Linked DNA regions of Callithrix jacchus. The protein of the gene in region 2 purifies or fractionates together with the protein of the main gene of each other region. This does not show direct contact. Links are inferred from orthologs where the notes say so. Each region holds a gene or a part of one and is shown on either strand. Other genes may lie near its edges.

Region 1 (3,570 bases), on a different chromosome or scaffold from region 2:
ACAATGGAGACTCAAGCCATATAATTCAACACTATTAAACATACACAATTTATTTTGAAAGTAGGATTTTAAAATTCCTCTACAAGTTAAAGTGATGCTTTTACCTCAAGAAATGGTAAACCACCCATAATGCATTACTGGGGCCACACTGCACTTTTGTACTCCCATGGCATCCATACTAAATACTCAGAAATCAGGTCTTGCCAGCACATGGAGAGTAGCTCTGTCTCTCAGCAGTTCACTATTTAAAAACCAAGTTCACCAACACTCATACACAACCCAGAATTCCAAGTTACTGTTCTATAGTGAAGTCCTTTTCATATGGACCATGGACCAGAGTATTTGTGTTGGCTCATTCTGCCTCTAAAGACCAGATCTACCTACACACGGGGAACCTCACTTATCATGTACTTGTCAACTTTCATTGTTATTGTTTCCTTGTCTTTCATTGTTATTTTCTTTCACTGTCTTTTATTGTTACTGTTTTCTCGTCCAATGAGACAGGGAACTGTGAGCAGGGATCAGGTGCTTTTACTTCTATACCCTCAGTGCCCTATTATGTTTGTTGAGTGAATGAATGCTGTGAGCCCTGTAGCAAAGTGACATATAATCAATCACAAAAATCACGAAAATACAAATGTAAGAAGAAAATACTGTATAAAATTCTGACTCTCATGTAGGTTTCAATCATTTGGAATTGTTAAAAAATTAATATAACCATAAACTTTCCAGTGGTCTTGTAGGGTTATTTTAAAAGGAGGCTGGTTACAAATCAGTTATTCATGAGCTGCAGCTGCTGAAGTTTCCCTTCAAAATGAGGTTCTGCATGTAGCAGAAGCAATTGTGGCAGAGGTAAACGAAAAGAAAAACTCACTTCATTGGATTTGCAACACAATTTCAAATCCTGTAGCATCAAATATGATAAACATTTTTAGAGCATATTTTAAATTATAAGATTTTAAACTCTAGATTGGCCTGTGGATTTTACTGTCCAACATCGAAACACTGGGCAAGAAGGTTGCTTTCAGAATTAAACATAAATTCTTCACTCTGTCTAGTGCTTGTTTTAGCATACAGTAAACAGCTTCAAAAATCCCAAAAGAGCCTATGATACCATAGCTAGTGGAGAAATTGGCAAAGACAAAGGCAGCCAACTTCCCACCATACAATCAAGCAAGGCATTTTAAAATTAGTAGCTATCAAATAATATTTCACGGAAAATGGAGCTTTTCACAAAAACCAATGATTATTTTTATTTATATTTGGCAAGAATTGACATTAATCCTTTATAAAATATTCATTACACTTTAAATTGTTTCCCATTTGTAAATATGATAACTGAAAATAACCTATGGAATTACTTTTTCCCAATCTGTATTTCAAAGCTCCTCACTATGTACAGAAGTCCATTTCAGCTTTGACAGCATGCTAGATGCTTCCATTACAGGACTACAATGGCTTTAGAAATGCATTTGTAGCTCACCGAACTGTATTATCTATAATATATAAGACTTAGCATATATTTAAATTACAGAAAATAAAGTACAAGGTGTTTTATTTTTCTTCATGGGGCTTTCAGGCAGACATCAGGATCTTCTCTTATTCCTAAAGAAAAATAACAAAAATCAAGAAAAGATAAATCTACAAACTATTAAAATTACAGATTAACTCAAACTTATAATATTTCCACCTGCATAAAACTCACAATGACACAACACAATAATATACCTTAAGCAACTTATTTAAAACTGAGTTATAAAGAATAGAATACTGGGCAGAAAAAAAAAACATTAGCCAACTTGGAAATTAGAGCTCTATTTGCATTTGTATTATAAAGGCTAACTATTCATTAATTTAATTCACCACTTGAATCTAATTGTCAGTTTATGCCTGAGCCTAGGTCCCTGTCAAAAAGGGACATAATGACTCATTTTTGTTGTTTCAATCAAGGCCTATCCTCCTACTCTAAACCAATGATAAACGCCATTCAATAGAGAAGTAAACAGTCACATATCAGATAGCTACAGACATTGGCTGGTATTCAGTCTTTACCACGACACATACACTAAAACAGGTTTTCTCCGGATATTTAACAATTTGTGCCAATGGAATAATAAAGTCTACTATTTAATTTCCTTAATTTTTCCAGAAAAAAGTCATTAATTCAAGCACCACTAATTCAGGAATCAGAATCATGTGTTCCAGGCTAACATTAGCTTTCATGTCCCTGAAGGAAAAAATAGTTTACTAAGCAAAGGAAAGGACCCCTAGGTGTTCTCTGCATTATACTATCTTTCACATTATTATTGTCTGAATTAGTGAAGTGAGATGATATGTAGCTACCTATAAAAGGGACAAGAACAAGATGAGACAGATAAGAGCAGTCAGGCTTATAGAATTTTTGATGTTTTTACAGAGATTCATTAAAAGTCTAAAGAATAATAGATTGAAATTATAGCATATACGTTATCACTTCTCATTTGACTTGCTGGCTACATCTACTTTTTCATTGCATTTTTCTTACATAACTTCTAATTGATTATATGGTTATGAATAGGTTGACTCATAACTCTGAGCTTCCAAACCCTGTCAAAAATTACAAGTAAATCATACCTGTAGTACCTTGTGTACTTCTAGCTGATGACTTCTTCTCAACTGGATACTGCAGAGGTATTACAATGCCTTGATCTGGCTTCTGAAATGCTGAAATGAGATTTTTTATTTTCCGGAAATATCTTTTATGTACCCCAGGTGCTGTCTGGAAAATAAAAGGCCAAGCAAATTATTTACCTATCTCATAATGATACAAAAAGACCTAAAAAATGTGCTAGGGATGCTAAGAGATGTAACATTTATGTAACTTGTTGAAATATTTGAAAACATGAGGAAGAAGGAAAAACAACATTCCAGAAGAGTTTACTTTGGTTGGTTGAATTTCCCTGCAAGAGGAGCTAATGAGCTGTCGTTTAGTTCTCCCAAGGGTGGTATTAGTTTGTACCAGTTCTTGCTCATCGCCCTGCCCTTCCTTCCTGCTTCCCATCAGACATCTCAAACCTCTGAGGGTATACAGGCCATTACCCACAATGAATTCACCAACAGAGGGGATACAGTTAAACACACACACACAAAAAAAAAAAAAAAACCACAGATCCTACAGGTCATTAATAAAAAGTCTGAGGAGCAACAACAAAAGACAAACCAACAACCCATCCTACCTGATATCATTCCACAATATAAAATGCTACACAGGAAATTAAAAAATGGCTGTTATGATACACACAGTGTATAGCTAGTTCAGTTCTCATACTCTTTCACCTCTTAATATTTCCTGCGTCATTCTTCATGTTAAATTTTTTCCTCCTTGGGAAACTTCCCTATACTCCCAAAATGGTTCTCTCCATCAAAACATCACTGTAACAAGGTGTTCTCGATGACATGAAAATGAAAGACTACATAAGGTCACCTTTATTTATTTGTTTTTAAAGAGACACTTATTTGCAGGTGACTATTAAAATGTGTTCTTTTCCTGTCATCAGTTGTCCTGCAAAGACACTGCCTGAAATCAACAAC
Region 2 (4,220 bases):
TACCTGTATCTGCTTCCTGCAAGCACACTCAAAAATTAGTTCCTATTTCTCCCTCCCTAAAATCTCAGGGTGACTGAAGTCCAGTGGAATTTAGGACCTTGCTGTTCAGTGTGGTCCATGGACAGGGAGCATTGGTGTCACCTGGGAGCCTGTTAGAAATGCAGAACCTCAGTCCCTATTCCAGAATCAGCATTTTAATAAGATTCCCCCAAGTAACTTATATGACCATTTAAGTTCGACAGGTTTCTATCTATAGAAATTAAAATAAAGAAACAAGATTCACTTTCTCTAGGATGTCATGATGCTTGATTTTAGTTATAATTATTGTTTTGTTCTGTTAGTTTTGCCACCCAGGGCTTCAGTTAAAGGAAATAGGATTATTTTTCAACAAGGTTTGTCTTTTCAACTAAATTTTCTAAAAGGAGGTGGGTTGGCTAGTGCCCATTCTTTGGAAAGAATGGAAGATTCTTTCCCATTCATTGGAAATAATGTAGGCTGGCATGAGTCATTGTTTTTCATGGTTGTTTCCATGATTGATTTCGTTTGCCCTGCACTTTTGCAACAGGGGTCTCTTTCCCTTCCTAAATCGCTCCACGCTCTTCCCTGCATCAGGATCTTTCCTCATATGATCCCTCCTGCCTTAAAAGCTTCTTCATTTGATGTTTCCTGCTTAACTTTTCATACCCTTTAAATATGAGATGAAATGTTATTTTTCCAGAAAGTCCTTTCTTCATCACTCGGTTTAAAGCAGGTCCCTGTGTTTTTCTCTATCAACGTGCCCTGCTTATTTTCTTGCTAGCCTCACACTTTCTAATTATATATGCATTTGTGTGAATATGTGACTGCGTGTAAGTTAAGTAGTATGATGAAGCAGTCATGAGCACACACTCCAGAGCAGGACTTCCTGATTTCCAGTTGTAGCAGCCACTTCTCCCCTCCTGGGCTTCCGAACACCTGCATCTGCCTCCTGCAAACACATTCAAATGTGTTTCTCTTTCTATACCCATTTCCCCCATAACTGTGGGACAGTAAGCAAGTTACTTAAGTGCTCTGTGCCTTCTTTCCCCATCTGTGAAATGGAGATGGGAGCACTGTATCTTTCAGGGAGTCATTATAAGAAGTATTCATGGACATAGGGAGAAGAAGAGGAGTTTTAACATGAGGACATTCAGAATATTTTTATTCTAGAGGTGGATTTAATTTTGCAGGGAGGTAAAAATGAAACAAAAACTCAAGATTCTGCTCCCAGGTCAGGAAGTGGCTCTTGAATGAAAGCAAGAATTCTCTCTCTTTCTACATTGTATATATATTTCCCAAAGTTCTGTTCTCATTCCAGTTTTCTCCGTAGCTTAACTTACCTCTATGCTGTTGATTTTTAAGCTTCCAGACTCAGCCCTCCTCCTAGTCCTAAATTCCCAGGAACTTTCATGTAACTTCCTCATGGATGGTATGCCAACATCCTAAAATCGGCAGGTCCAAAACTGAACTCACCTTCCTCCTGTGGCTGCTCTCCACCTTCCAATTTTGTCACTTTCTCTGGCTATCCTGTCAGAAATTTCACTGCCCTCTTTACCGTATTTCATCTCTCCCTTTTCTACTTGAATTTCTTTTTTCTACTTTTATTTCTTCCTTATCACTATTCAATACACTATTTTACTTGCTTTTTTGTTTGTTCGTTTTTATGGTTTGTCTTCTGCTAAAATGTTAACTCCATGAGAGCCGGAATTTTTTGCTTGCTTTGTTCGTGATGTATTCATGCAGACTGAAACAGTGCCAGACATTCAATAGGCGCCCCATGAATATTTATCAAATGACTTACCGAATCCTCCTTTCCCCTCATTCCAATTGCCAATTAATCTACTTAACTCCATATCGAAGGGATCTCTTGCTTCCATCCTGTCTTTCTCTTATGCTGCTGCCACACTCGTTCAATTGTCATTGTTTTTCAGAACTATTACAAGAGCTTGCCGCATGCTGGTTAATGAAATTTGGGCAAGTTATTTAAATTAACTTCACTTGAGTTCTTTCTTTTAAAATGGAGATAATAATAGTACAAATTCATAGAATTCTCATGAGACTCATAATGTGTGTACAGCACCTGAAACAGTACTTGAAATATAATAAGCACTCAGTCCTAATTTGCACTATAGGAGGGGAGAGATGGAAACCTTTTTTTTGAGGGGGCGGGCTAGAGAGGATTAATTTCAGTGTGTTTGGTTGGGCCCAGAAATTTTGGCTCAACTGAATAATAGGTTTTTAATAGTGTAGATGAGGATAGTGAGGTTCAGAGATGATAAGTAACCTTCTGGAGGTTCACAGTAAGGTAGTGGCTAAATTGGTATGAGGGCTCATTTTCTTGATCTTGGTACTCTTTACAGTATGCTGGCCATAAACCAGTCTCGTCTTGCAAAAGCTTATTTCCTCTGCCCCAACAAATAACTTTCTTACATATAGACACAGTTGAAATTGTTCACTGACAACCATCTCAAGCTTATAGCATTCAAAGTTGAGAGGAGGTATATGAGTGGTACTTATATCAAGTACCACTATGAGCATGCCCTTCCCCATCCCAATCCCTTGACAGGGACCCAGACAGACAACTGTATACAGACGATTTCGATTGAGCAATGCAGACCTGTGTAGTCGCTAGTGACATAAAACCAGGGAGTCACTAGTGACTACATGGCTCTGCATTGACATTTACCTGGGCCAATGCAGAAGACAAGCAGGAGCAACAGGAACAGCCACAACATGCTTTCCGCGGTGAAGACTGGTGCTTGAGACCTTGAGGCAGTCAATGCTGTTGCCATTCTGTCAGTAAACTGAAAATGCTTTGTACTGAGACTTCCCCTTCCTTCAGAGGCGTGGTGAGAACTTCTTCCTCTGCCACTGTTTTGTTTACTTTTCAATTTACTTTTTTCTGAGCTAAACACGCAAATCTTTTTTCTGTTTGTTTTTGGAAAAAAAGATAAAGTCCTTTATTGCATCTTTAATAAACTTGTATGTAAAAGTCCATAAGGAATTTCCTAAAATCTACTAGAACAAATAAATGAATTCAGCAAGGTGAAAAGATACAAAATCAACACATATAATTCAATTGCAATTGTATATACTAGCTATGATTAATCTGAAAATAAAATTAGAAAAACAATTCCACTCAAATTATATCAGAAATTTTTAAGTATAAAGCTAAGAAAAAGCAAAACAAAACCCTTAATTTCTAAAAGACTAATTTTCTTCTTTCTTTCTTTTTGCTGTTTGGGGATGCTTTTATTTATTTATTTATTATGATTATACTTTCAGTTCTGAGATACATGTGCAGAACATGCAGGTTTGTTACATAGGTGTAAGAAGTGCCATGATGATTTGCTGCACCCATCAACCCGTCATCTACATTAGGTATTTCTCCTAATGCTATCCCTCCCCTACTGCCCTACCTGCCAACATACTCCAGTGTGTGATGTTCCCCTCCCTGTGTACATGTGTTCTCATTGGTCGACTCCCACTTATGAGTGAGAACGTGTGGTGTTTGGTTTTCTGTTCTTGTGTTAGTTTGCTGAGAATGATGGTTTCCAGCTTCATCCATGTCCCTGAAAAGGACATGAACTCATTCTTTTTTATGTCTGCATAGAATTCCATGGTGTATATGTGCCACGTTTTCTTTATCCAGCCTATCATTGATGGGCATTTGGGTTGGTTCCAAGTCTTTGCTATTGTGAACAGTGCTGCAATAAATGTATGGATGTTTCTTCATAGTAGAATGATTTATAATCCTTTGGGTATAACCCAATAATGGGATTGCTGAGTCAAATGGTATTTCTGGTTGTAGATCCTTGAGGAATCACCACACTGTCTTCCACAATGGTTGAACTAATTTGCATTTGCACCAGCAATATAAAAGCCTTCCTATTTCCCCATATCCTCTTCAGCATCTGTTGTTTCCTGACTTTTTAATGATCACCATTCTAACTGGCATGAGATGGTATCTCATTGTGATTTTGATTTGCATTTCTCTAATGACCAGTGATGATGAGCTATTTTTCATATGTTTGTTGGGTACATAAATGTCTTCTTTTGAGAAGTGTCTGTTCATATCCTTCACTCACTTTTGGTGGAGTTGGTTTTTTCTTGTAAATTTGTTTAAGTTCCTTGTAGATTCTGGATATTAGCCCTTTGTCAGATGGATAGATTGCAAATTTTTTGTCCCATTCTGTAGGTTG

Evidence for each region. The genes of interacting proteins can lie anywhere in the genome.
Region 1: the proteins of SLAMF6 (region 2) and SH2D1A purify together in Homo sapiens (co-immunoprecipitation; 5 studies listed by BioGRID and IntAct, with this or other methods). This does not show direct contact. The link is inferred for Callithrix jacchus from reciprocal best matches to the Homo sapiens genes SLAMF6 and SH2D1A.

The regions. Positions count from the first base shown.
Region 1 is NC_133524.1:120,122,066-120,125,635, reverse strand, and holds part of SH2D1A (SH2 domain-containing protein 1A), read right to left. Parts: intron 2,759-3,570; coding exon 2,614-2,758; intron 1,606-2,613; coding exon 1,565-1,605; 3' UTR 1-1,564.
Region 2 is NC_133519.1:20,450,905-20,455,124, forward strand, and holds the start of SLAMF6 (SLAM family member 6), read right to left. Parts: upstream 2,820-4,220; 5' UTR 2,811-2,819; coding exon 2,705-2,810; intron 1-2,704. UniProt on the Homo sapiens protein: Self-ligand receptor of the signaling lymphocytic activation molecule (SLAM) family.